Oryzias latipes: one gene and its partners. The protein of the gene in region 5 interacts with the protein of the main gene of each other region in a pairwise test. Links are inferred from orthologs where the notes say so. Each region holds a gene or a part of one and is shown on either strand. Other genes may lie near its edges.

The links.
Region 1: the proteins of meox2 (region 5) and nck2 interact in binary tests that used the Homo sapiens proteins (3 or more experiments, as listed by UniProt). The two-hybrid records come from large-scale screens. The link is inferred for Oryzias latipes from reciprocal best matches to the Homo sapiens genes MEOX2 and NCK2.
Region 2: the proteins of meox2 (region 5) and ccnc interact in binary tests that used the Homo sapiens proteins (3 or more experiments, as listed by UniProt). The two-hybrid records come from large-scale screens. The link is inferred for Oryzias latipes from reciprocal best matches to the Homo sapiens genes MEOX2 and CCNC.
Region 3: the proteins of meox2 (region 5) and cib3 interact in binary tests that used the Homo sapiens proteins (3 or more experiments, as listed by UniProt). The two-hybrid records come from large-scale screens. The link is inferred for Oryzias latipes from reciprocal best matches to the Homo sapiens genes MEOX2 and CIB3.
Region 4: the proteins of meox2 (region 5) and oit3 interact in binary tests that used the Homo sapiens proteins (3 or more experiments, as listed by UniProt). The two-hybrid records come from large-scale screens. The link is inferred for Oryzias latipes from reciprocal best matches to the Homo sapiens genes MEOX2 and OIT3.
Region 6: the proteins of meox2 (region 5) and fuca2 interact in binary tests that used the Homo sapiens proteins (3 or more experiments, as listed by UniProt). The two-hybrid records come from large-scale screens. The link is inferred for Oryzias latipes from reciprocal best matches to the Homo sapiens genes MEOX2 and FUCA2.
Region 7: the proteins of meox2 (region 5) and rpl15 interact in binary tests that used the Homo sapiens proteins (3 or more experiments, as listed by UniProt). The two-hybrid records come from large-scale screens. The link is inferred for Oryzias latipes from reciprocal best matches to the Homo sapiens genes MEOX2 and RPL15.

The regions. Positions count from the first base shown.
Region 1 is NC_019879.2:10,283,133-10,287,425, forward strand, and holds the start of nck2 (cytoplasmic protein NCK2), read left to right. Parts: upstream 1-1,493; 5' UTR 1,494-1,764; intron 1,765-4,293. UniProt on the Homo sapiens protein: Adapter protein which associates with tyrosine-phosphorylated growth factor receptors or their cellular substrates. Maintains low levels of EIF2S1 phosphorylation by promoting its dephosphorylation by PP1.
Region 2 is NC_019882.2:15,128,172-15,132,252, forward strand, and holds the start of ccnc (cyclin-C), read right to left. Parts: upstream 2,801-4,081; 5' UTR 2,675-2,800; coding exon 2,643-2,674; intron 2,311-2,642; coding exon 2,204-2,310; intron 2,063-2,203; coding exon 1,978-2,062; intron 1,512-1,977; coding exon 1,442-1,511; intron 1,305-1,441; coding exon 1,253-1,304; intron 1,156-1,252; coding exon 1,100-1,155; intron 408-1,099; coding exon 372-407; intron 294-371; coding exon 202-293; intron 115-201; coding exon 47-114; intron 1-46. Other genes in the region: glial fibrillary acidic protein, read left to right, coding at 3,773-3,966, 4,046-4,081. UniProt on the Homo sapiens protein: Component of the Mediator complex, a coactivator involved in regulated gene transcription of nearly all RNA polymerase II-dependent genes.
Region 3 is NC_019875.2:30,516,009-30,520,163, forward strand, and holds the start of cib3 (calcium and integrin-binding family member 3), read right to left. Parts: upstream 2,801-4,155; 5' UTR 2,460-2,800; coding exon 2,409-2,459; intron 1,917-2,408; coding exon 1,882-1,916; intron 1,705-1,881; coding exon 1,593-1,704; intron 1,292-1,592; coding exon 1,144-1,291; intron 818-1,143; coding exon 618-817; 3' UTR 1-617. Other genes in the region: bone morphogenetic protein 2-like, read right to left, coding at 3,548-3,966. UniProt on the Homo sapiens protein: Acts a an auxiliary subunit of the sensory mechanoelectrical transduction (MET) channel in hair cells. Plays a role in regulating hair cell MET channel localization and function.
Region 4 is NC_019873.2:26,494,758-26,498,754, forward strand, and holds the start of oit3 (oncoprotein-induced transcript 3 protein), read right to left. Parts: upstream 2,801-3,997; 5' UTR 2,721-2,800; coding exon 2,663-2,720; intron 1-2,662.
Region 5 is NC_019874.2:31,196,853-31,200,352, forward strand, and holds part of meox2 (homeobox protein MOX-2), read right to left. Parts: intron 633-3,500; coding exon 414-632; 3' UTR 1-413. UniProt on the Homo sapiens protein: Mesodermal transcription factor that plays a key role in somitogenesis and somitogenesis and limb muscle differentiation. Required during limb development for normal appendicular muscle formation and for the normal regulation of myogenic genes.
Region 6 is NC_019880.2:1,087,285-1,091,257, reverse strand, and holds the start of fuca2 (plasma alpha-L-fucosidase), read right to left. Parts: upstream 2,801-3,973; 5' UTR 2,675-2,800; coding exon 2,490-2,674; intron 1,484-2,489; coding exon 1,296-1,483; intron 1,227-1,295; coding exon 887-1,226; intron 10-886; coding exon 1-9. Other genes in the region: putative deoxyribonuclease TATDN3, read left to right, coding at 3,134-3,187, 3,264-3,296, 3,378-3,451, 3,532-3,616. UniProt on the Homo sapiens protein: Alpha-L-fucosidase is responsible for hydrolyzing the alpha-1,6-linked fucose joined to the reducing-end N-acetylglucosamine of the carbohydrate moieties of glycoproteins.
Region 7 is NC_019869.2:17,918,289-17,922,450, forward strand, and holds the start of rpl15 (60S ribosomal protein L15), read right to left. Parts: upstream 2,801-4,162; 5' UTR 2,693-2,800; intron 2,178-2,692; 5' UTR 2,167-2,177; coding exon 1,995-2,166; intron 1,919-1,994; coding exon 1,782-1,918; intron 33-1,781; coding exon 1-32.

The DNA of each region.
Region 1 (4,293 bases), on a different chromosome or scaffold from region 5:
TTTCACGATTAAATTGTGCAATTTTGCACCTTTCGTTTGAAGAATGTATGAGGAAGGTTGCCTCTATAGCTTCATTTTAATTTTTTAAAGTATGTCTTTTAAACAAATTAAGATTTTTATTTCCTTTACAGTAGCAAGGAAATGCGATCTACATGAATAACAATGGACATGTGGCTTAATCGTCTCCTATTTCTCGCTATTATCGCCAAGGGGCGACATATTCCTCCACAATCTGTCCATTTCCCTCTGGCGTTGTCCTGTTCTCGTCCCGGGGTTAGTGACGTCACAACCAGGACCGGGGATCAAGCTGAACGTGAATATCAGAATCAAACCGGAAATTGAGGCGGAGTCCTAACAAATAAAAGCAGGCTCGATTTAACAAAAAGATTCTGAAAGTTAGCATGAAAAAAGGAAAATAACCAAACTAAGGTACGAGTAAACTATAAACAACATCAGTTCACCAACAGACATACATGTAATTTTACATGTAATTTATATGTAATTTTACATGTATTACATTTAGGCCTGCAGCCTTGCTTCAATGACCATTAGGTAAATACACTTCTGACCGTTAGCAGTTGGTAAATAAAAGATTTTTTTTTTACGTTTTGAATTGCATACTCATTTACCCACATCACAAAGGATAAAGTGTAACCATAGAGCAAAACAAAACAAAATACGATTTTAAATGGATAGGGATTGACCAAAAAAGTAACTTGTTGATCTTTCTATTTTATTTAATTCTTATGAAAATTTTTCTGGATTAAATATTTGTTGTTTGATGCCATCATATGGACTTCAAAAGAAAAGAAAATAGTAAACTACATGGAACTGCTGTTAGCGAAACTGCTGAAACATCTGCAAAATGATAAAAAACACCTACACTTCAAACACATATACCGTTAAACTGTGAAGAACCTCTTTTTAGATGTTCCTCACCCAGACAGATATTGGCAAATGAAAACACATTAATTTAAAAAAAGAATAGAAAGAATAAATGTTTCTGCTAATATTCCACATTCATTTGGTTTCAAAGTTTTCTCTTCCTAAACATTCGTATCATCTTTTCTTTACATTTTTGTATGCTGTTGCTAAGATTTTCATTTTTGACATTTAAAATAGGTCAAATAGACGACAAAACACCTGAAGAAGTACAAGTTGAATATGTCTAAAAATGTACTATTTCAAAAAAGAAAAAAGTTAATTATATATTAAATAAAGATAGTAGTGGTGAATAGACAATAAAGCAATAATAGTACAGTGTACATTTTTGTTTATCACAGGCATAAAAATGTGGAAAAATGCACACGTTTGTTATCATGAACAATATTTAACCATATTTAATTAAACTGTGTTTTCTGACTGCATTTAATATTTTTCAAATTTCTAATATGTAATTTTAATTTACTTGTTTTTGCAAAAATTGTACTTTTTAATTGAATTTGCCCTGTTCAAACCTAGCTTTATTTTGAAAAATCGGAACGGAAGTGAAGAAGTGTGTATCTCCTAGCTTGAAAGGAGGCTGATCGAGGCGGAGGCAGTCAGCCTGCGACGGAAAAACAAGCGACAACACGTCGAACAGTACAGGTTTAGTCAGTGTTTGAAGAAAGAAAATGAGATAAACCAGAGGAGATGAGGACTTAAACGAATTTTTTTGTCACTTTGACGAGGGTTTGGTCACTTATTATTGTTGGACCCGCGCGCGCTATCCCTGTGCTGTGACGCTTGTCTGCCCATTCTGACTGGAGTGAACACTAAGGTAAGGTAAGCCTGAAATACACAACTGTGTGAGTTGCTTCTGCTTACATTACTCTTTCCAGCTGCGCGTGCCGTAGATTGAAAGGGGTTTTATTGGTCTACAGAATTATGTGTGGAGGTTTTCCTCCGTAGTGGGAGTGGGAGGCTCGGAGTGTCACTTTCTCGCGTTGAGACGCTTGGTCTTTGTCCACTCTGACCACAGACTTGGCTCGAATCTCGCTCCAGTGTTCGCGAACCACTTTTTAAACCCCCACAATTGTATAAATTTGTTTAAATTCCCACACTTAAAATCATCAATTAAAATGTTCACTAACAACATTTGTACTTTTTCGGTTAGTAAATATTAGAGGGGCCTGACTCACAGACCATGGTCGGTGGTGGTGGATTCCAGGCTGTGGTCCGGCTTTGTTTAAAATAGTTTCTTTTAACTTCAGTTCTACAATTTCGTACTTTTTTGCGTGGAAAACAATTTCTGCCATCATAGGTGTTTGGTTGGTGTGGTTCGAGATCCTGCTGACAGCGCTACGGCTCACACAATGAAGCACACTTGCCAAAGAAGCAGCAGAAATCGGCCGGGCGCCTGGTGCCACATGCCGAGCTTGTCAGTGCTCCTAGCGGCCGTTGGTGGGAACTGCACCATGCTGTCGCCTCATCAGCCCCTGTGGATCAAAGGACGCCTTGTCTGTTCTCTCACTGACTTGATGCTGGATATTTTTGTACATTTTATTTTAGATTTAGAATTTGGGTTTTCAGATTTAAATCCAGGTGTTTAAAGGTGCTGAAAGTTCTTGCGTGGTTCAGGTAGACTTGTCACACCTACTGCAGACACACCCTGTGCAAAGCGCTCTCCCGGTCTACAGTCCGCACTGACAGGTATGAGGAAGGAGGCTGCAGGTCCTGTACTGCAGAAACTCCCGTTGCATCATTTCCTTGGAATTCGATACTTGGAGCAGAAATGTTGTTTTAGAGATGAATTTCCACCCCCCTCTATGTTTCTGACACCATTCTCCCTGTCAGCTATTAATAACTCACTCTGATGAAAACTGTGGAGTTTTTTTAATATGTTCTTGTTTTTTTTTTTCATGAGGGAGGACATACATGAAGAAAATTTAGATATAAAACTGCATTTATGAGTATTTCTTTATTCAGATCGTTGTGAATCAGGAGCCGATGAAAAATTACTGTCGGAAAAAGCTTGTTGCTTTGACGTAGGCGTTTACAACGGCAAGCCACAAACTCCCTGCTCTGCTCCATTCTGATGCCTCCACTAGTACACGACTGTGCATCTTCGTTGACCTCGTCTGAGGTGGAATCTGGCTCAGAACTGTACGGCTGGATAGCTGCAATATTGCCCGCCCTTTTTGTGAAACCCCTAACGTTAGGTTGGGATGTGTGAGGGGCTCTAAGCTAGCGGGAGTTAGTGTAAACAGATAGATGACGAGATGTGGGGGTGGGCTTTCTCTGTGTGCCCACACCTCAGAGGCAAATTTCTGATGAACTCCTGCCACTCTGCATAACTATGTCCTAGAAAACGACACAGATTTTTTGATTTTGGCTAAAAAGAGCATCATCACGCTTTTACAGTAGATCAAAAGATGATCAGAGTTTGACTTTAAGCTATGTTCTCATCGCCCTCGGCAACATGTTTTTCAAGCAGACACCTTCGATGAGAAGTCTATGTAAACACTGTTTTATGGGCTTTTTTGCTCAAAACTCTTGTGTTCATGCCTGGCTACGCAAGTTTTTATGACAATGAACACGCGTTGGAAGTTAAACCAGGTCGAACTTTGACCAATCAAGGACTTGGATTTTGGAGTGACATATATATGGTTTCCTTTGTAATTCACGAAAGTGCCAACGGTTTGAAAGTTGATCATGAAGGAGGAATTAATGATTGTGGTTTGTGCCCGGCTGGAATTCTGGCATCAAGTCTTTAATATATTGGAATATAGCTGTCAAAGAAAAGACAAAAAAATAAAACCTGGAGCAAGATTTACCAGATTTGACTTTTTGCACCAAACCTTTTCTAGTACATGGTAGAAAAAGAAAAAAAAAGGGTACTTTAACATGCATTAAATGCATGGTGTGTATTAGAGGTCCAACGGATCACGGATGACCCTTGATGACCCCCCCCCCCCCCATTTAAATCGATTGTCCGTTCAAACCAAAGACAATTTGTGCGTCAAATTCAATTAATTTGAGTTAAAATAACAAAAATGAGTTTTTTACAAATACATCATATTGTCAACAATCACGATTTTGAATATGTGATTTAGAAAAATGTAAACAATAATTACTGTATTCTACTATGGATGTATTGTGAAGCTTCTAGGAGTGTGAATTCTACATTTAGGTTTTAAATATTGTTTTCAGAATTGCCTATTTTTATTCATATATTAAATGGATCCGTTTTTTAGTTTTTAGTCGTTTCTTTTAAAACAAACCCGATCTTTCCTGTCATCTTCTTAACCGTTTATTCCCTTTCGGGGTCACGGGGTTGCCGGAGCCTATCCCGGCCACTTGGGCGTAGGCAGG
Region 2 (4,081 bases), on a different chromosome or scaffold from region 5:
GTGAGTTAAACTGCTCTACTTTCAAAACCTAAGAGGCATTTCTTACCTAAAGCTATCATGAAGGGAGGGTAGAGCAGACACAGATCTGTCCTGTACGTGTCGTTCACTATTCGCCTGGTAAAGGCAGAAAACAATGCAAAGCCTTCCAGCGGAAAAATAAGCTAACATCAATGGGTTTTGTTCAAACGAGGCAGAACGTACCATGCTAAGGGCAGCAGCATGTCCTCCTGCCCCATGTCCTGCACATACTGCAGCAGAGGTCTGTAGGGGTGGTACACAATCAGGCAGCAGTCCTGAAAAATTAAGCCAATCAAGGATCAATTCTTCTCTCTATGAAACAACTCATCCTTTTTATCTAGATTTCCACCCACCATTAGCTCCAAAAGGTAAAACTCACATTCTAGAATCTGGGGGGAAAAAAAAGAGGTTTAGAATTATTTCAAAAAGACATTTAATCATGTTTTCACTTTGAAAATGCCCCCCAAAATTTGTGAATTCATTTTTATTTATTAAGTCTCGTCATCAGACTGGCCTTTGACCTCCTGCTGTACAGATGATGACTTTGTTTGCTTTTAACAGCTTCGCACTTCATCATTGTCACACTTTTACTAAGTGTCCAATGTCCACAAGATGAATGATGTTTACGAGTCACGGCCCTCTGCTACCTCAATCTCTGCCGTCTGAACCCCCCCCCCTCCGTAATTTATAGCTTATATAGCATTACGTCAGAGCCGTCTTGTTCTGGAAACTCTGGAGATCTGCGAGGCAAAAGCATTGAGCAGCAAGCCCCCTGACTGACTTTTTTTTTGTCAGCAGAGTGTGAACATTAGCTGAGGAATCTAACGCACTGATAGGCAGTAATGTGGCAACACTGTGATACAGTCTGAAGGCTTCTCGGTAAGCTGCAATGCAGCACATAAATAACTTTGCAGAGGAAGCAGTTTGATGTGACCTCACCTTCTTGAAACTTAAACCAGTAAACCTTGATGGCATTTACTGTTTACCGTCACATTTCTGCATCGTCAGATTTGTTCATGATTCTTAACTTTTTCATAAAATCACAGACGTAATCGGATTACTTCCACTGTGTTTTACTCACATGATTCATTCTGTAAGGAAACTCCTTTGGAAAGGCATAAGAAAATCTTGTTTTTACTACAAAAAAACAGAAGAAAAAAAATTTGTGTTGCTGGAAACTCCAAATGAAAACAGGGAAAACTTAAATTTGAGATCCACAATGTGGGTCACTTACATACAGAGGTGGCGGCTGAGATCAATCTGGTGTTGGACACGACTCCAAATTCCTACAGGAAAATAAGCAATACAAAACAGATTATCGTGTGTACTAAAGAAGCAGTTAAAGACCCTAAAATGTGTCTCACTTATGATTAAAAATGAAATGTAACATGAAATGTTAAAGATGATTCCACCAAATTTATACCTCAACTTTAGAGGCCAGGAACACACAAGTGGGAGCCATGAGCACCGGATCTATACTCTTCAGAGAATACCTGCAAAATGACACAAGGTATTTAAATATTAAACAAACAGATCATGGAAAGAAATGCTGACGACGTCAAAAAGTAAGAGTAGCCAAAGATAATCATGGCTACATGGGTAGTAAGCACAGTATAGTTAAGGGAAAGAATTTAAAACAAAAGAGGAAAGTTTTTTTTTTGTTTTTTTTGCCTTCCTAACTGTTATGCTAATGTCAGCAAAAGTAAACATTCCTTTGTTTACTCATTGATACATCATGTCGACAGCCTTTTGTTACAGGGTTCAATAAACCAGACCAACTTATCCGCTCCCGGACACAAAAGCTGTTGATGCTCTGCAGAAATGAAACTGTCATCAACACTGATGTAATCTCATTAGGGCTGCCCAATATGTTCACACTTTACCCTCCATGAGCTGTCAGCACAAACGTGTAAAATACCAACAGCTTAACTTATGGAAAAAGCGTTTCGAGCTCCTTACCGGGCGTAGAAGCGCTTAAAGTACACAGTCGCAGTAGCAATGACCTGCTGGCGCAGCTTCAGATGTTCGCCCAGAGCTTGGATAACTGAAAAATACCAAATGAAAAACATTAGTTGAAGTGTGTGATTTAGGTTTTGTTCGTGACTATTCAAGATTTTCTCATGTTTTCAAACAGACCCGGAAACAGACCCAAAACCTGCATGAATGTATTAGAAAAAAAACTCACCATTTGCAAAGAAAATCTGAAGCTTCCAGTACTCCTCCTCCGAGAGAAACTTCAGGTCTTTCTGGCGCTCCTTTATGAGGTCCTGTTTGTCCAAGACCCACTGCAGACTTTAAAAGATAAGCAAGATTACTTTATATGATAAATTTATACAGACGTTTGAACGGGTCAAATTCACTTGACTAACAGTAACAAGCTCCTGACGTGACGGCAACAAAACACAACGAAAACAAGAACCATTGCTGGAGCTCAAAGGAAAGAAAGTCCACATTTTTAGTTACAGTGTGTTCCCCAAGTGTTATTTTTACACCACAATGCTATAAGTAAACTGTTAGCTTCAACGCAGAACAAAAATAGCAGCTAGCTAGGCCTCACAAGCGAAGCGGCTGATGATTACGACAAAAACACACACAACGTCGATATTATTTTAACAAAAACTCACTAATGAGAACTCTGCCAAAAGTTACCCGCCATCACTGCAGTTGAGGTAGAAATTTACAGAAAGGAAAATTGTGTTTTTTTTAACCAACAAAAGAGCGGAGACAGCGAGAAAAGTAATTAAAGTGGCAGAGCTGGTGTATCACGAATAACGTTCCGACGAGCCCAAAGATTGGTTCCGCAGTCTCCTGTAAATGTCGGGAAACACGATTACTTCAAAGAGGGTATACTCACATGTTTTGCATGATTAAAACATTTATAAAACTAATTGTTTAAGATGCCATTTACCATGTTTAGACGTTTAAAGTAGATGTGATGAGGCTAGTATATGAGGTTTTCAAGCAACAGAAGGGAAAAAGGAAATAAAGAAAGTGGTCAAATAAACATAGCATCCTTTATTTCAAAGGGTTCATTGATTATCTCCTAAACTCAATTGAATATTAAAGCATTTGGGTAACTAGAGCTTTTATACCATATTTGTTTGTGGTTAAGTCAACTACAAGTTGTTTTTTTTTTTAATTATTTTATTTTGGCTATAGTTATTCTACATTGTGTAAAGGGTTATACCTAATATAGTCTATTAATATTAAAAAAACAAAAAGCAGCAATTAAGGACTTTTGACTTTTAGCGATTTAGCGATCAGCGATTGCAGACATCTTTTCTTTGGTCTAAACAAATTACGTAGCCCTATAGAAAAACAGGAAATTGTATTCTATTGTATTTATTTAATTTCAATTAGCCTTTCGTGAAGTCAGTGGTGTTCTGTTTTTTCAAATGTTTTACTTGTTTTTATTGTAATTAAGACAACTAAAAATCAGTTTGTATTGTTCATTTTGCTTGTACTTAACATTTGAAAGTAATGTTTAATTCAGCTTTTACTTCAAAATTAATTAAGTCCTTCATCATTCGAAGCACAATGTTCTTTCAACAGCCTATAGGCCAAATTATTTGGCTTGTTGTTGATAGATGCCTGTGCAGGCATTCATACTTGGTATGGAAGGGTTCAGCATTTCACTGTAGTGTTAGGGGAAGGGCCAAGAAGTGTATAAAGACCCCACCTCCTCAGACTGACAGAAGAAGCAAAGGCTCCATTTCCAGTTTCCAACTACAGTTGCATCAACTTAAAAGCCACCATGAGCCGAAGCCCGGAGAGGATGTCTTCATACCGCCGTTGTTTTGAGGACAACATTGCCTCAACATCCCACCTCCGGGTTTCCAGTCCTTCTCCCACCAGGAGAGAGAACCGCCACCGCTCAGCCAGCTTCAACCGAAGTGGCGGGTGGAAGTTGGGGGGGCATAGAGCACTCACCAAGCAAAAACTGACAAGGTAGGTCATCACCTCAGCCAGCTACACAAAAAGCCCACAACACAAAGCCACTTACACCATTATTTTTGGGCTCCTGCAGCAGTTCAAGTATGGGGGTCCTTTGTGTAGGTTCATC
Region 3 (4,155 bases), on a different chromosome or scaffold from region 5:
TTCCAACATCCATGCGTCCCCATTGTGAACATATCTCCACACGCGTGTCATTGCTTCATAGACTGAACATGATCATCTGCTTTGCTTCTGTGTAACACGAGGAGAGTTTGGGTCAGAGACTGTAAATATGTCCCAACACACCATGTTCTGTCTCAACCCGTCTAGAATGGATCTACGCTCTGTACAGACGTGTACTTTTGCTTTATTAAAAGAAGAAGATGAAAGCTGTGAGCGTTGTTTTCATTGAATGGACGTCGGCCCTCGTTTGCCCCCCAGGAGCTGCTCCGATGACCAGCGGCCCTCCCCTCGGCGCTGCATTGTGCGCTGCTGCTTCTTTATATTTGTGTAACCAAACCCCTTCAGATATGAAAGGAATCTGCTGCCGATCGTCATAATTAATGAGCCGGGTCCTGGTGGGACGGCCGATGGACCGCGGCTCCGTCCGGCGGCGGGTCAGGGTTTGGGACGACTACTTTCTACAGACCAGATGGTGAAAAACAGTTTTCAGACAAACGTTCTGGCTCCTCAGATCCGAATGTGGAAGGTGCTGTGGAGAGACCAGAACCGGATCAGAACAGGCTTTAATGGAGCAGCGTCGATCCACACGACGCCTGAGCTCACCTGAGGAAGTCTGGAGCCCTGACGATCATGTGCTGGAAGTCCTCCAACGAGAGGCGGCCGTCGTTGTCCAGGTCCGCCTCGTCCATCACCTTCTCGCACACCATCTTCACCTCGTCCTCGCCCAGCTCGCCGCGGGTCAGCTTGGTCAGCGTCTTCTCCAGGTCCGACTTGCAGAGGAAGTCGTCGTTGTTGAAGTCTTTGGGGAAGAATCAAACGTTTGTTTCATAGCTTTGGGGTCAGAAACGAGCCGCTAAAACATTCAGATATGTTCTGGACATACCTGATCCAGGTGATCAGCTGCCAGTGGGGCATTAATGCAGACCCCCGAGGCCTCGGGGGTCTGCATTAATGCCCCACTGGCAGCTGATCACCTGGACACACCTGATCCGGCTTTAGGGGCCGTACTTGGTGGTTTTCAGGTCTGAATCCGTTAAATTTGCCCCTAATGTTCAACTGAAAACCAAAAGAATCTGGAAGAGGTTTGAAGGGACGTCTCCAGACGAGCGTCAGAAAAGTCTTTACCGTAGATCTTGAAAGCGTAGTAGGCCTTCAGGTCCCGAGGCGCCATCTCGCTGAGAACGGAGAACATGTCCAGGAAGTCGTCCAGCGACATGTTTCCTTCTCCATCCTCAGAGAAAACCTCCGCAATCCTCTGACGAAACGGGTTGTCCTGGACCGAACCGACACCAGAGACGGTCTGGTTAACAAAGCGTTTCACAGGTCGAAGGACGGAAAGGCTCGGATGGAGGTTGGGTCTCTGGACTCTGAGCGGCCACACCTGTTCACCTGACTTTACCTGAGAGCTGCACAACTGACCTGCCCTCTGGAACCCACCGGCATTCTTCAAGTTTAAGGGAGTCATGTAACGGATAACCTTTCAAAGAATTCTGTCGATTAGCTGCTCGTGCATTATGGATGGGGATGGGGACGGGGGCGGGCGGGGGGTGGCAGAGCGGCGGCGGCGGCTCTACCTTCAGCTCGGGCATGCTGCCAATCAGCTCATATGGTAGCTTCACATCTGGCTCCTTGGTGTAGTCGAGAGGAACGAGCTGTGGGGCCAGATCCCGGTACCGGTAGAACAATCTAGAGAGAACATAGAAAGAATTTCAAAATAAATGTTTCCAGACTTGTATTTTGAAAGGACAGCCAGTGAAGCTGATTTGAAGACAAAAAACAGTCTCAATAGCAGGATGGTGTTTAAAAGTTACAGCATTCAAGACAAAACCAACAGAAATAAGATGCAGACATGTGAAGGCTCACCTGAGAATCTCTTTCCTGGTGAAATATGTGCAGTCCTGCTGAGAGACCAGGACAGGTTAGCAGACCCCACAGACCCTGCAGCCCTGAACGTCTTCATCAAACATTTATTTCTCATCATCTTCAACCTTCCTGCTGCTAAAGTTAGGTTGGAGTCATCAGCAGCACAGTTCAGATTTGTTTTTGTGGTGGTTTACCTTCCTAAGGTGTTCAGCGTTTGAGACGCCGGGACACGCCCACATGTACGCATATGTATACTGGCTTTAATCTGCTTCTATTGTTGTTTTTATTCTGATGATGCTAACGCACCATTGAATGTACTCTATTCTATTCTGTCGGGTCCTGTTGTCAAACAGTCTGGAATGAAACAGGAGCAGAATAATTCCTGATGAGTCAAATCTGATGTTCAGAGAACCTGCAGGATCCAGAATCCAGAACTTCTATGTCCTGAATGTCCTGAAGTTGTTTAATGACAACGCTGAGGAGGTCTTCAAAGACACGAGGAAGTCTTCAGGAGGTGTTCCACCCACCTGGTAGGCATCCAGCTGCTGTGCCGTGAAGATGCTCTGCTTACTTCCCATCCTGGAGCAGCAGGTCCATGGCTGCAGCCTGGAGGGCTTTTTATGGAGGGCAGTTCAGATATGAAATCCTGGCACAAAAGGAGGCCGGAGCCAAAGAGGAGATCGGGTGTCGGGTCGCAGCCGGGCCCTTTGGTTGCCACTATAATGGCAGCAGTTTATGGTTCTGTGTGCTGAATAGGAGCCCGTGTGGCAGTGAATGAGGGCTGTCGTCGAGCACCGTGCCAAGTGGTTTCAACCCTTTAGTGCCACGGCACGGCCAACGCCTCGCTCCCCGATCAGGTTACCATCCTCTCTGACGGCCTGCTGGGACGACTTTTTGCAGAGAAACGGTTTATTGCATCTGATCAATGCAAACGGCGAATGTTTGAGGGACGCGGAGACCTGACCTGAACCCCCCCACACACACACACAGAGGGAAACTCAATGAGCGTCCTAAGTGTGTTTGTCTGATGGGTGTGCTTGTGAATCAAGAACGCGGTTCTGCTGAAGTTCGGCTGACAAGAGGTCAAAAGTCACCGAGACGACGGTTCAGATTCACTTTCTATTCAACTTTATTGCAAAGAAAAACTTTTAGTCAAAGTAAATTTAAAAAATGTCTTTAAACTTTTTATTCAGACAGCTTCACCTGCCCCTCTGAAGGTAACTTTGACCTCCTCACCTGCACCAGGTGACTGACTGGCTCTGTCCTCTCAGAGCACAGCGGCGCCCTCTGCTGGGGGAACCTGGCAACAGCAGGCTCCCAACAATTATTCACCTGAATGAATAATACTTTTGTACATGGTATGAATCATAATTCAGTTTACTAATGCATTTTTTAAATTGTTTAAAGTTTATCATGTTTATCATTTGAGCGGATTTTTTAAAATAACAAAAAAAACATTCTGTCATTTGACCTTTATTCAAACTACAATCCCACTCAGCAGAAAACACAATATACACATTTACATTTGTGTAAATAACACATCTGTCATAAACATATATTAATATTTATGAATATTTACATATTTTACAATCTTTGCTCAGGTTTGCCTGTTAGTGCGGCCTCAGAGTGATGCTGGCTGTGTGCGTGTGCACGTGCGCGCTCATGGTCAGTGGCAGCCGCAGCTCCCAGCCACCATGTCGTTGTACTGCTTCAGCACCACGTTCTCGTCATCATCAAAGTACAGCAGGTTGATGGAGTGCAGTTTGTCCGGCACACAGCACGGCGTCTCGATGCCTCGGACCAGCTTCAGGGCGTTGATGATGGACTGGACGGTGGCGTGGTTGGTGGGCCTCATGTTCTGACCCAGAGGGAACGGGCAGGAGCCTTTGCAGTGGTAGGCGTTGTAGCCCCTCGGCGACACAATCCAGCCCGACCAGCCGATCTCCTCGAAGTCCACGTAGAGGGGCAAGCGCTGGCAGGGCTTGGGCACGCCGTGGTCCTCGCTGTAGTCCACCGAGCGGGCGGAGCGAGAAGACGGAGAGGACATGGGGAACTGGGGGAGGGTGGAGGTGGACTCCCCAGAGTCTGAGGGAGGAACCGAGACGTCAAACGTGTTAATCTCTACAGGAGGACGGTGTGAGCAGGCATCATGACCGTAAATCAGAACTTATTGGTTTTAGGTTCCGTTGGAATCACTGCACCCTTAACCCATGGGCCATCTTGTGGGGTCCAGATGACCCCACTCCCAACGTTAACGTGCCTTGGATAGCACAA
Region 4 (3,997 bases), on a different chromosome or scaffold from region 5:
AAATAACCTCAGTTGCCAAGGAAATCCAAAAGTTTACTTCTGCCGAAACTTCTAAAAGTTACGTAGACCTCTTCGTCCCCCTCAGACGACCAAAAAATTAAATGGTTGCTATGGAGATAGAGCCAATAGAAAAGGCAGTAGGACAAAAGAGGGGGGGGGGGGGGGAGGGGCGTGTGAATCTACTTAATTAGTGAGGGCGGGTAGGGAGGGGTCTGTGAGGGCGAGGACGGGCTAGTTGATGCTGCAGGCGGCTGTACTTGGATTTTTATGGTTATGTTTAGGATACTGGTGATCTCCTAATGACCACCACCAGTGCAAATGTGTCATCTGTAGAGGACATTTCTCAATGTGAATAGTTCCAAACTACTATACTAATACTGATTAACTTCTGTTGGTATCAGAGGAATTTTGGGCCTTTTTAATCGTACCAAATGTGAAGAGGTGGGTTTTTGGTGGATTTAAAAAAACTTAACTGGACAAAATTGGTAATCAGGAGGATAAGTATATATATTTACAATTTATGAACCCAAACTAGGTTTAAAATGTGTTTTTGTTTGGCTTTTCTTCCCTTTTTGTACTGGTTAAGGTATAAGTCTGTAATTCTGATCCTGATAGCGGAATCCATCTTTTAAAAAACAATCCAAATCTGGGGAGATTCTTTTTTTTTGTTTTAATGGCAGCATATTCGAAAAATGGTGACGCCTTTCAACCCGTTTACAGGCGTGATGTCAGAAAGTTGCATCAGCTCTTCTCACATGTGAGCAGCGGTGGCGCATCGGGAAAAGAGCTGCACTGGAAGAGGAAAACAAGGCGCAACAGAACAATCAATAGTGCCTCTTGTCTTCATGGCCCATCAACGGTGTAATTAAGACACAGGTGTAAAACAACACGAGGTGACATGTGGGGCACAGGCAGCACCGGTGAAAGGGAAAGCAGTCAGCATCCCTTCTACACGCTGGAATCATTTTTCTAACCTCTACTGTTATCAACCTTTTTCTAATTAACTTCAGAAAGTGTGTTTTTCTAGTATCCTGGAAACATGTGGAGCTGAGGTTTGTGCCCCTCCTATCGCTATTCACCTCAGTTTTCTGTTCATCATGAGGCTGAGCCCCTGCAGGCTCTGTGCAGCCTAGACCCTCTGCTAACATCAACAAGCGTTCTGACCCACACCGCTCCACTTTCAACAGCACAGATGGGACAGAGCGGACTCATGTGGGTGCATGTTAATGCGAGCTTTGAATCTTCCAGATGGGACCGGAACACCTTAACATGTGAAGGAAAAACGACCTTGTTCTTCTGATTCTGACTTTAGCGGATGAAAGGCCCACGAGAAGAAATCGGGTCACAACAGTCACCAAATGATGAACTTGGGTCTTGGAGCATATGGAACCCAAACAGCTGGAGCTGCCTTTAACTGACATGGAATCAAAATAAATCTGCATTTTTAAGGAACATGTAGGTTTAAATACTCTTTAAGGCTGAAACTATTTGGTCCTTGCAAAGATTTCAAACCTGACATTCAAGATATTTTACCGGGTTTTCTGTTGTTTTAACTTTCACACTTTTCCAAGCTTTTCTCAAAATCAGCAGTTGAGATTTTTTTTGTCTCATTTAGATTTAGAAATAAGAAAATTATTATAAAAAAATAAGTCTTTACATTTAACAACAGAAAAACTTGATTTAATAGGAAATCTCAGATTTCTTTGCAATTTTTGGTTCAGTTCTAAGGATGTTATTTAAAAGTGCAATAAACCTTAGACTGGCACTCATGGTCATGATTTTGAAAAAAAAAATTTAGATTTATCTTCTCAGAAATAGTGCTAGTTTTAGATTTCATGAGGATTTATTAAGATGGACTAACTGATACTAAAATCGACACTTAGTTCACATTATATGGTCGTTTCCACTATTTTCCACTAGTTTTTATTCACTGTAATCAAAATGAACTGAAAGTAGGTTCATAAAAACTCAAAAATACAAACTATTTGCTTAGAGCAAGCCAAAAATACTTATCATTGGCCTGTAAACCATTTCATTTGAAGTAATTCTATGGAGGAGTTAACTTTTTTATCTTATTTTTCCCATTTGAATGTTTGTGTGGAACTAGATTTTAATACTTCATAATTTCTTGTGGAGTTAAAATGATTTAACAGACAATTTTATTACTTTCCAGTAATTTTCTTCCTATTTTCTTTCCTGTTTTAAAGCTGCCTCTTTTTGCAGTAATAGGCATTCTCATGAGATAAACACTGTCAGATTGGGGCTAATTACACACGCCAAATATATTTAGAAATGCTTAAAAATTAAGGTTTTATTTAATCTTGCATTGAAACCAACAAGGATCTGCCCAAAAAGGATCAGACAGACATCTTACCTTTTTTTATAAAAATGTTTTTCAGTTGAAAACGGCGCACAATTATTTCGTTTTCAGATCACAAACAGACACAGCTGGATCCTATAATGTTACTGACAAAATCAAAAGGTCACAATAAAAGCATTTTCAATTTAAAAGCATGTTGAAGGACGGAGAACAAAAACAGAACATTGTTTGTCCATTGAAACACATTTATGCCCCTTTATTTGACTCTCACCACGTTAAAAAAACTTTTATAATATAAATGAATAAATGTGCATGATTAGGTGTAAGAACAGCTGAACTCACCTACACCTGGAGCTGCAAAGGCTTCCTGCAGTAGACTGATAAATACCAGAAGCATCATGATGTGCCGCCTCTCTGAAATCCCACCACAAACCCAACACTGCAGCCGCTAACCTTGACCACACGGTGTTAAATGAGTCTCTCTGTTTTTTTCATTGCTCTTTTTCACCCTGACCCCTGTATCAAACGCCCCCACTGTTTTGAACTCTGAAGCCCCTCCCACTTCGCCTCCTTCCAAAAAGGGAAACGTACATTAGCAGGTGACATCACACTCCAACCATCACATCAACCGTCTTTGCTGTGGAGGAACAAGAACAACATTTCGCTGTCTGTTTGTTTGTCAGGAAAATTGAACATTTCTTAATAAGAAGTAGTTTAAACTGAGATTATGAGTAAAAACAAATGTTTTAGGACTACAAATCCCTGCAGATCCAGCATTTTGTTGAGTTTCAAGCGATGTTGTTTCACTCCTCTGTAGCGTTGTGCCTACAGGTACAGATACATCTGAAGCTGCAGGATCAATGACATGGAAAAAAAAAAGAATATTTGTGGTTCAGAAATACTAATCACTCTTTTTTTAGGGAAATCCTGTCGCTCCATGTTACCTTTTTACAGGACACATCAGACCTTTTGGTTTAATACAACATATGACTATTTCTTAAATATAAATCTGAGTTTCTTGATGATGGGGGCCGAGATCCAATAAAAAAAATATCTGCAAAACTTTTCATGTGATGTCTATTTAGCACAACTTTAAAGACAATATCCTGGAGCTTCATTAGGGTCACTTTTCTTTTTTCCTAAATTTAGAAAACATGCAGAACAACAACATCAGTCCATAAAAAAGTGAAGATAAAAGAAAAATTCGTAGTAAAATAATTTCCAACTAAGCATTTTAGTCATGTTGGAAAGTCTGAACGCTCTTTAAGAGGCATGTTTTATTTCTAAAATTCAGTGTAATACTATTCAAATTCTATCAAATCAAGGAAATAACTTATTTTTTTTCATTTCTTTCGCTGTTTTTTTTTCAAATGAACAGGTTAATCTTAAAGGACATCCTGCACAGAAGCAGCTGGAGGTCAGGCAGGATCACAGCAGATCCTCTGGACCTTGAATGTTTCCTCTTTGCCAAAAAACAAACACAACAACAACAAAAAAAACGTCATCAGGACAAGTGTTTCCAAAAACTGGATAAGAGTTTTATTGATAATTGAATTACATTTCTCTTTTATACATATTTCATAAATGATACAGGATTTTACATTTTTCTTTTTTGCCAACATTACAGCATCTTATGTCAACTGAAGAAAACAAACACAAAAGAGGTCAGAATGAAGG
Region 5 (3,500 bases):
AGGGGGCAGAAAGGTGTCAGCCGAAGAGCTGTCGCCGTTTATTGATGCAGGAACCAAACAGGAAGGCATCGAATCACCAACGTAAGGCTGAGAAATATGTACAGATCGCTACCATTGAAGGGGCGGGTTCGATTCCGTCTATCCCGCTAATATTTGACCCTTTGTACAGCAGAAAGCCATCGGAGCTGCAGACTGTGGGTCAACAGTGCAAATCAAAGCTGCTTCTCCAAACACAGCATGGAATGTTAACAGGATTACCCATAATGCATTTGACACGTTAGTATTTACGACAAGCTTTTTTCTTTTGTCAATGTTCTCGACTGTACACTTGTTTAGCATCGCTGTGCGACGATGGCAGCAAACAGCAGCCCTGGTGAGGAGGGTCCTCTCCTGGTTGGGGTGGGGTGAGTGCATCATAAGTGGGCGTGTTCGGAGCTCTGGTCGCTGTCCTGACTGTCCTCGTTGGCTAAGGAGTCCGTGGAGTGGTGCAGCGCCGCGATGCCAGAGAACTCCGACGGCAGCAGGGTCCCCTTTTTCACGTTCACCAGTTCCTTCTCGCGCGCTGCCGCCCCCTGCTGGCCGCCCTTCACCCTCTTCCACTTCATCCTCCGGTTCTGGAACCACACCTTCACCTGTGGGGGGGTCAAACAAGCAGAGACACGTTTGGAAAGGTGCTGCCACATCTGGAACCTGACCCCCCATGCATGTCGACTCAACAGATTCAGTAACGCCTCGGACTGATGATCGAGCGGTTAGTCCGTCTCAAGTGGCAGCAGAGACCCTCTAATAGGGGGGGGGGGCGTTATTTTGGGAGGGTGTCATTCTGAGACCCATGAAGTGAAATGTTCTGGAGCTGATTTTCAACCCAAACAGGTTTCTGTTTGACCCCCCCCACCACCACCACCACCACCACCTTAAACTGAGGCTTCAAAAGGAAAATGCAAACGGTCTAAAAAACAGAATCTAAAGAAATAAAAGCTTCAGTTTAAACTCCTGAGGTCCATAAAGACACAAGCCCATGAAAATGGTGTTTCTAACATAATTGTGGCAGTTTTGTGAAGATGAAGGACACATGCAAAGAAAATTAAGATTAAAATTGCATTTGAGTATTTATGGATTGAATGCTATAAAGCATTTCCTGTTTTTCTTTCTTTAACCCTTGTGCTATCCTATGGGGTCCAGATGACCCCCCCCCCCTTCCATTGAGGTGTTCTCCCTACCATGACAAAGGTGGATAAAGGTGGAAAGATATCATGTAATCCATGGACACCAGTGAAGATCACAAATCATTGAAGAAAAAAGGTTCAGAGCACTGTCTAGTGGGTCTAAATGACCCAACTCCCTACGTTGACGTGGCTTAGAGGCACGTTAACGCTGGGAGTGGGGTCATCTAGACCCGGCATGACAGCTGGTAGCTTGTTCGCCGCATTGTCTTGTGGGGTCCAGATGACCCCACTCCCAATGTTAAAGTGCCTAGGATAGCACAAGGGTTATTCGAGGATCTTCCACCATTTTTTTGCAGCTTAACTCCTTCAACAATGGTTCATCTATTTCAACCATTCAACTATTCAAATGTTCAGCTCTTTCAGCTTTTTCCAGCTCTGACTTTTGGTCCTTCAAATCCGTGAACTTTTCTAGATATTCCAGGATTTCTGCCTCCATTTAAATAAATGGGGAATCCTTGGTGCAGAAACTCGCTGGTATTTTTCACAAACATATCTTTTTTGTTATTGTGCTGTTTTCACTTTATTTATGGTCCACTTTGATCATTTCTTTTTTTGTGTGTGCCAATTATTCTCCTTTAAGTTTCATTTTCATTCAGCAATACAACCTTCAACCCTGCATTTTCTTCTGGAAAAGCAGCTCCTAGTTCATTTTGAATCAGGAGCAGATGAAAAAAAAATCCCATTCTGATGTTTTTAAATACATTTCTAAATGATTCTGGATTTCAGACCATTTATGCAGATTTGACCTCCTAAACCTTCACTGTTCCTCAGACATAAATGCTTCAGAGACATAAACCAGCGTTTCCCTTTGAACCAGTTTAAACCCTGAACAGGAGAGGTTTCTGCCCCCCTGCCGTTTCTTCTGCTGCTCACACATCCTCCACCGCTGCCAGACGTGATGTGGGCAATATTTACCTCACAATAGCCTGCTGTATATTTTTGCTGACAAACCGAGGTCACACGTGTGCGCCGCCGGAGCCGCCGGCCCTTTACGCACACGCTGAGGCCGCAGAGAGATTGATTGGAGTCTGTGAGTAGATTTAAGGTGGCAGACGGTGCTCTTGGTGGCCATGTGCACGTCTGTAATTGAAACCAAAAGGCGGAGCTGCACTCAGAGGCTTTATGGAGCGTTTGACATGTTTCAAGCCGTGGTTTACAGGTGCTTTCAGGCCGAGGAGCTGCGTTACTTTGAAAGCACACCTGTGGGCCTTTTTTTCAAACGAACATCTGAATCTCTTTAAGGCGGTCTGAACATTTCTCCACTCTTTTCAAAAACGAGGCGGCAGGTTTTCCTCAGAAATGTGAACCAAAAGTGTTCCAGTTCACTCTGAGGGAGAATATCAAACCTGTTTCAGCTCAAACTCTGTGGCTCTTTATGAACATTAAGTTTGCTATATATATATACATATATGTTTCTTTACATTTTTACATGTCATGAAGAAGAGTTTAGCAGGAGTCTGCAGTGTTAAAGGATTTCTTTGGATGTGTCTCTGAACTCACTGCTGAGTTTTCTGATCCCTTTGTCACTTTACATTGATGCAGGAATGACTTTGACCCCCCCCCATTGAGTGCAGCTTTCATTCAAAATTTTATGTGACGCTTCAGGATGTTTTTAGTTTGTAAAGTTGTGGTTGAAAACAAACAGACCAAAAGTTATGACACAAAATACTGATCCTCTTTGGAACATTGGACACAGTTTTGTGAAACTTCATCTGTTTTATTTAGACATTTTCCTCATTTTTTGACTGTTTTGTCTTTAGATTTACACAAAAGGGGTTTGATCTTAATTGAGTCATTTTTGCAGTTAAAAAAAAGAGAGAAATGTAACATTTGAAAATTGTTATTTGGCCATTATTAGGTTAATTGAAGAAATATTGTTTAATATAATCAAAAATATATTTTAAAAAACTGTAGATCGATAAAAAAAAACAGTTTTAAAGATTACTATTAGAGCAAATTGTAAAGTAGAAATAAAATCTAAAACAGATTCTAGACTACTAGGTGTTAATAAAGTTGGTTAAATGTTTTGTACTTAAATATGTTTGTAAGTAATCCGACTACTCTACACATAGAAATAAAGCTCATTGTCGTTTAATGTTGTTTGTTTGGGTTTAGAAGACGGACGTCTGGTCTGAGTGAAAATATCAAATATTTAAAACATTAAGTTGAATTTATTTTATAAAAATATTCAACATTTTTCAGTAAAATCACTGGGTTATTTCACCCAGAAGAGAAATTTTAAAAAGTGTAAATGATCTCAAATCATATAAAGCT
Region 6 (3,973 bases), on a different chromosome or scaffold from region 5:
CGTACAGGACTGTCGGGAGTCAGTAGAGAGAGTGAGTGAGTGAGTGAGTGAGTGAGTGAGTGAGTGAGTGAGTGAGTGAGTGAGTGAGTGAGTGAGTGAGTGAGTGAGTGAGTGAGTGAGTGAGTGAGAGAGAGAGAGAGAACTTTATTTGTCCATTTGGGAGGTTCCCGCATGGAAATTGACATCTCCATCACATACAGCACTATTAGAAATAATCAGAAAAGTAAAAACAGTAAAGACAGTTTACATTTCTGCAAAACAGCATTTAAGAAAGTCAATCAAGGCCCTTTCCTTTCTGTCCCACTCCCCCCTCCTAAGTGGTGGTTAAAGAGTTTGATGGCCCGGGGGACAAAGGAGTTCCTCAGTCTATTAGTGCTGCACCTTGGGAGGAGCAGCCTCTTGCTGAAGGTGCTTCTCTGGCTACTGATGGTCGTGTGCAGAGGGTGGGTGGCATTGTCCAGGATACCCGATAGTTTTTTGAGTGTCCTTCTCTCTGCCACAGTAGCCAGAGGGTCCAGCCTTGTGCCAACCACAGAACCAGCCCGCCTGCAACAGTCTGATACACAGAATATCTGTACCCGGTCCCGTCTGACCCTCAAGTCCAGTCGGTTTGTCTGCTGTGATCGGTCCGGTCTGAACTCAGACACGGTTAAGTGAACCGTACCGAGGCCGGCTTACAGAGGTGCTCCAGATCATGCCACTAAAAGCTCAGGGACGTAGCCCCGCCCACCGTGTTAAAAACCAAACAGCTAACATCTCTAAAGACAGACACTGGTGGAAGATCTAAATGGCAGAGTACTGTGGTCTCTGGAGGATGCAGAACATCGTGCTCTGGTTCTGATTGTCTGGTGTGAGTAGACTCTCAGCTGCATCACCTGGACCTCACCTGTCGTTGTAGAGCCACGCCAAGAAGCCCGTGCTGTTCCAGTACTTGGCGGGAGCATCCCCGTCGCCGTCGGACCACAGCACCTCCGGTTTGTACTTCACCACCAGCTCGTAAAGCTCTGGCAGGGATTTGCTGGTGGGGAAGAAGTTGGTGGTGAAGAGGTTGGCGGCGTCCAGCTCAAAGAGCGGGTTGAACCACTCAAACAGAGAGTGGTACAGCCCCAAACGCATGTCGCCCTGAGCACGAACGGCGCTCGCAATCTCATCCACCAGGTCTCGTTTTGGCCCCACGTCCACGGCGTTCCAGTTCCAGGAGACTTTGGAGCCCCAGAGCGTGAAACCTGGGAAAGACAAACAAACCCTGCATGACAGGAACCGTCAGGACGGTCGGCGGCGCCTCCTTGACCTACCTTCATGGTGTTTGGTGGTCAGAACGATGTACTTTGCTCCTGAAGATGCTAAGATGTCCGTCCACTCTTTAGCATTGAAGAACTCGGCGGTAAAGGACGATGCAAAGTCTTGATACTTGAAGTCTGGAGGATAGTTCTTCTGCATGAAGTCCACATACGCCGGCTGCTTCTGTTTCTGCCAGTAGTACCTGCAGAACAAAAGCACCTTAGTTCCTGTGACTGAAGGAGTCACAACGATGCACGAACAAAAATGGTACGGTCCATTTTCGTGATGTCCCTGTGGCCATATGAGCCAGAACTGGAAGACGCACCTGCGCCCCTTTTAAGATGTAGCCCCTCCATGAACCCAGACAGCCCAAGAACTAACAGAACCCGAGTCGACGAGTCAAACCCCCCCCCCGTAGGGGTGACTCAGACTTAAAACAACCAATAATTATGCTTCAGAATAAAGAAGGAAAGTCTGGATACAAAATTCCCTCACCATTGCAGTTACGTCACAAATGAATTCTGACACCAAAGGAAAGTTTTAACCACTGCAAACCTGAATGTTCACCTGATCATAAGACTGAACTGGAAACACAACAATGTGGGCGGAGTCTACCGTCCTCCTGCAGGAAGTTCAGATCTTCCAGAGCTGCAGCATAACTGCCAGTGTGTGAAGGATCATATTCAGATTTAAAGTGGTTATAACCTCCTTTTAGCTAAAGAAGGCTAAATGATGCTGTTTTTATTTAGATTTCAATGGCAAAACTGTTGACTCACAGATAAAAATCATTGAGTCTTTTGGTTTCAAATGTTAGTTATAACAAAAATGTAGATAAAAACTTTAAATTGCCTTCCCTTTGGCTGAACAATATGATGTTTTACAACTATGATGCAATAAGATAGTTTTGCACTTTTTGCTATTTATTTTCAGTCATTCAATTCATCAGCATTATTTAGTTTCACTTCAGCTTTCTGATTTTTAAAAGCTCAATTTCAGTTTTTTTCAGCATATTTCACTGTATTTCCGACATCGTTTTTTGAGTATTTAATTTTGAAAATCTCCATCGTCTGTCCCGAAGCTTTTTAAGGCTCTGACCTGGTTTCTCTATCATGGTTTTCCTCCGGTGGGTCACCAGGTGGATCTTAGTTGGGGCCGAAGCCTCCCCGAACTACGCGAGAGCGGCTCTGCTCAGAACCGGAACCACTCACCAGAACCACTCGCTGCCGAAGCTGGGCACAGAGAAAACCCCCCAGTGGATGAAGATGCCGAACTTCGCCTGGTCGTACCAGCCCGGCAGCGGGCGGGAATCAATGGACTCCCAGGTGGGCTGGTACCTGCTGTAGGTCAACAGCGGCAGCAGCAGCAGCGCGAGGACAGCGGGAAAAGCGCCCATTCCGATGCGAACAGTGCAGAAAGTTCCGGCTTCCCCGTCATATGATGTGGAAGACAAACACCTGCTTCTGTCACATGACAAATAAAGGGGTGTTAAAAAAGTCAAAACAAAAAACTTCCTGAAACGAGACTGCTGAGATTCAACCAATCAAATCGAAGAAAAATTCGACCATTTACTAAACGTCACTAGTTACTATGCCACTGGAAAGTGATTTTGTTGCGCATGCGCAGTTTTCTTCTTCAGACAACGAACATTTGAAAAACGTAAAAAATACCAAAAACAACTTAAATGCATGTAAACTAAACTGATAAATACAAATATTATATTTTCTGTTTGTTTAAGCAACTGTTGACTCAATTTAGACAGTTATGAAACGAAAAGTTGCAGCCAGTAGAGGGCAGCAGAGAGCAGCGAAGCCGCTTGAACGCAGACGGGTCAAAGAAGAAGACAAACGTAAACATGCCGGGCTACGTCGACTGTCACTGTCACATTTCTGCAAGAGATTTCGATGAGGTAGGAGAGAAAATGCGTGATTTAAGTTAATAGTTTGCATTTTGAGAGGCATAAATGTTGTCCGTGTTCGGTTTAGGACATAGAAGAGGTCATCGAGAACGCGAAGAAGGTGAGAAAAGCGCTCAGACAGAGATTTGTTGTCTTGTGTTTGTTTGTGTGAATCTAACACAGCTCGTTCATTTCCGTGCAGGCGGGACTGTTGGCGGTGTTGGCCGTTGCTGAACACGTGGGAGAGTTTGATAAGATTATTGAGCTGTGTCAGAGGTGCAGAGACGTTGACAGGGTTGGGAATAAACGGTGCGCTCCGATAGTCCGCATTAATCCAGGTGTTTCCATCCCTGCAGGTTCCCAGGCTTTATCTTCCCGGCTTTAGGGGTCCATCCTGTTCAGGCAGTTTCTGCACAGCAGCAGAGAGGAGCTTCTATGCAGGTGAGTTCTGCTTTGACAGAGGAGTTCACCCCCAAAACCATCCGCTTCTTTACGGACACAAACCAGCCAAATAATGAAAACGACCACATCTGCTTCAGTTTTAAGCATCTCAGTTATGCGGCACAATATACCGCAGCTTTATGGTTATCGAGCTGTGCAATATGCATATCGCAAAAGTCGGTGAAATTGAGGTAAATGGTTACCTTAGATGTGGTGAAACAAAATTATGGCAGCTTGAAGTATTTAATGAATCAAATAAATGCATTTGATGAATGGGATGGACTTTTATGTTAGATTTTAACATCTTATGTAGACGAGGGTCATATTGTATATAATTTAGGTTATATTGACTCTTAT
Region 7 (4,162 bases), on a different chromosome or scaffold from region 5:
CGCAGGGCTCCGCAGTGACGACCAGCACGCTCCTGAAAATGGAGGTGAAGCTGCGTTAGCTCTCCAAAGCTCATCAGAAGGTCCAGAGACAACAGGCTCAGGAACTCAAACTAAATGATCTACAGCAAGATGTTCATCTAACCACAGAAGCCTGATCATTACCCAACTTCTACAGCTCATTATTCAAGTGAACACATGAACACACAACACCTCCACAAGAGGAAAAGGTTTCGTTAAGATCGTTCAGCCTCAGGTTTCCAATCAGATAATACTGGTAATGAAGCTAACATTCATCTTCTTCCGTTTATTCCCCTGTGGGGTCACATGGCTGCTGGAGCCTATCCCGGCCATCTGTGGGCGAAGGTAGGGGGCACCCTGGACAGGTCACCAGTCTGTCCCAGGGTGAAGCAAACATCAAAACAGAATTTCAACACTAAACGCACTTTTAGAGCCAATCTGTTTTCAATCTGGGACTCCATCAAGTCACTGATGCACGTTTCCTAGTCATTTGTGAACGTGGAAACAACGATCAAGTTCAGATTGTTTTCCAAGGAGATGTTTCATCCACAGCTGTCTACTGTGCAGATGAACATCTGTTCAGCTCTGGCGGTGAAGCGTCCTCACACAGCACAACCTGAGAGTTTAGTTCATGCCCACAGTTGACCTGAAGACCGAGCTGCAGCTAAAAGCTCTAACTCTGCTGCAGACAGGAGTCACGACAATATCCTAAACCCAGATGTTCACACACTTTATGTCGAACGGTTCACACAATTGCTACTGACTGCAGAGAATGAGGAGTTCTCACACGAAACCAGAACAGCCCATCTGAGTCCGTCTTCTGACAAAAATCTAGGTTATTTTCTTCAGCCAATATCTAATCAAAGGCAGAGTTTCATCGCCTTATACGTGACCACAAGACAAACCAAAAATGAAGTCTGACACAATTATTATTTAAAAAATGCAGCGTAGGCTGCTTTAAAAAATAAAAACATAAAAAACCGTGAGATTACATCGTACATTTCCCCCCATGAAACCTTTAGACCCACTGACTAAGATGAAAACTGTTCTTTGGTGTTTTTAACAAGCTCTTGCTGCATTTTTCTGATGATGGTGGACATAAATCAAGCTCAAAGTTGCATTTCTAAGTATTTTTTTTATTTTAATTGTTGTGGCTAAGGAGCAGATGAAAAAGAGCTTGGCTGCTCTAATGTACGTCTGTTCTCCTCACCTGAGCTGGCTCAAAACTGAATGGCTGATAGCTCTAATATTGCTCGCCATTTTTGTTGCACCGGTAATGTTAGCTCGAGTTGGCGATGCGAGAGGCTGTAAGCTAGCTGGAGACCGTGTAAACAGACAGCTCTCAGCAACAGGGAGGGGGCGGGGTTACTCCACACCAACAGTCCTGCCCACAAGTCAGGGGTAATTACTAATGAACTACTACCACTCTGCAGAACCCGTGTACTAGATAACAACACAAGTTTTTGGATTTTGACTAAAAACTGCATATTCATGACTAAAATACCACAGGGAAAATAGATCAATAGATGATGGCAGTGGAACTTTGGGGAGAGACAGACACCACATACATGTTTACTCCGGCAAATGCTGTAAATCCTGGAAATTAAACTGTTTCATTACAAATAAAGATTCTCATCACACCTGACCAATTCTTCCCAGAAGCAAGACGTCCTCCCTATAGTCACACATGTAGTTATGGAGGAACGATCTGACATCAATTGCTTGTACCGTCATTCAGAAAATATGCCAGAACATCAACTAACCTCAGCAATGGACTGCAGGCTGCGAGCAAACTTGAGCTGGTTCACTCCGTGGTGCACTGGCTTGCCGTACGTGGCACCTTTAGGCACGGGGCGCTTGCGGCCTCCACGGCGTACACGGATGCGGTAGATGACGTAGCCTGTTTAGGAGGGGGGGGCAAAGGGGTTAAGATGGGTACCACACAAAGATACTGAGGAGGACGATGATGCACTCACCCTGCTTGGCCTTGTAACCCAGCCTACGGGCCTTGTCGGGCCTGGTGGGTCTGGGAGCACGGTGGAGGTTGGACAGCTGCCGGTACTGCCAGCAGCGGACACGGAGGAGGAAGCGCATCACATCAGACTGCTTCTTCCTCCATAACTCCTGCATATATCTATATGCGCCCATGGTGACTTAATCTAAACAAGGAGAAACCAAATAGATCAACAAATCTATTCCTTCATAAAAGACACAAGAATGATGGCAAACTGCAAGTGAATTGACACTTTCAAAACTTAAGTATTTAGGTGATTCATTGCAGCACGAGACGCAAAAAAAGCTTTTAGCAACAACTATAGAAGCTGTGATTATGTTTGAGAGAACCCTCACAGACACAAACTCCTGCAGTAAAGAACTATATCAGAGAAACTTGTTTTAATTTGACTGTTTTAAAGCCTAAAGTCTTTTCAGTGTCTTCTGATCGTTTGAATCCCCGCAATAACACATTACCGCTTCGGCGAAAGGACTGAAGCTAACAGCGCTAGCACTACCGTTTAGGGTAATAAGATGACTTTTATTTACAAAAATAGTCCGCTATTATACTTTATTAAAAGGTTGTTTGTTTGTGTCACAAAGATGAAGTACAGGCTTTAAGGTAAACGGGAGGATTTAGACGGATTGTTTAATTCAGTAGTGGAAGAAAAGTCTCGCTTACATGATGGCGAACCAGCCGGAAAGAGGGAGAATTTTTACCCAGCATGCTTTATCAAAACCACGGCTGCGCAGTTCTGACCTCTGTGCTCATGGTAAATGTAGTTTTATACACGCACTGATTCTAGACAGACACTGATCCTTTGTTCTAGTTATAATCTATATTTTTGATGAATAAATATTTGGTTAAACTAACAATAAAACTCAATAGCATATTTAAAACCAATTTTCATTAATATTTGAATGTTTGCAAAAATAAAATTATTATAATCCAATGCATCATGATGATATTGTGTGTGTGTGTGTGTGTGTGTGTGTGTGTGTGTGTGTGTGTGTGTGTGTGTGTGTGTGTGTGTATATATATATATATATATATATATATATATATATATATATATATATATATATATATATATATATATATATATATATATATATATATATATATATATATATATATATATATATATATATATATATATATGTGTGTGTGTGTGTTTAGTGGCTTGTAAAAATAGAATGTATTTTAAATATCTAAAAAAAAGTTTGTGTGAGTGAAAATCAAGCTTTATTCAAATGGTTATAAAACAATTCAAAATTCAATTCAAACATTAAATAAATAAAATAAATAAATTTTTAGGGGCATAAAATAAAACAAAAATTAAAAAAAAATATTTAAAGTAGATATAAATGCAAATAATTCCCATTTAGTCTAGATAAAACGTCGCAAAAAATATAATGATAAGTCGCGTCGTTTTGACGCAATGTTTATTTTGTGCGCATGCGTTGTGGCTGCAACATAGCATTTGCCATCGCCTGTGTTATTTTACTTTTACAAAGTGCTAGTTACTTTTACAGCAAGTGAGTACCTGAGTACATTCCTTTAACATGTTAATATTGAATTAACGAGGTTTATCGCCGGAATTTTGGTTTGTTTGCAGCATATTAGCCATTAGCTTGGTAGCTAACACCCAAATGTGAAATCATCCGAACATTTCCCTACGATCACATTTTCTTTTCAATGTTATCAAGAGGTAATGGATCAACACACTTTGTCCATGTTTTTTACAGTACGAGCCATCTGCTCCCTTCAGGGATCACCACAGTGGATCATAATTCACCTCTATTTTGATTTCTTCTAATCTTCCTTCCTGGTGGCTTCAACGTCAACATTCTTTTTCCATCATTTCATTTTTGCCGACTCTCTTTTGTCACACCTGAAACCACCTCCTCCTACTCTTGTACGCTTCACCTCTTTTGCAAACGCTCCCTGTAACCTCACCGTTCCTCTTGAGTCTTCGTCATTTACACTCATACACTTGCTGCAGCTGACCTTCCTTTTGAGAGCGAAGGTGAGGTGGACCAGGATGCTGCACAGCAGTGCAAGCAATGGAAGAAGCTTAAAGCTGTGGGTGGAGACGGTCACCAAGCACAAGTCTTAACCAACCTTTCACCCAGCTAACCGACCATCCCA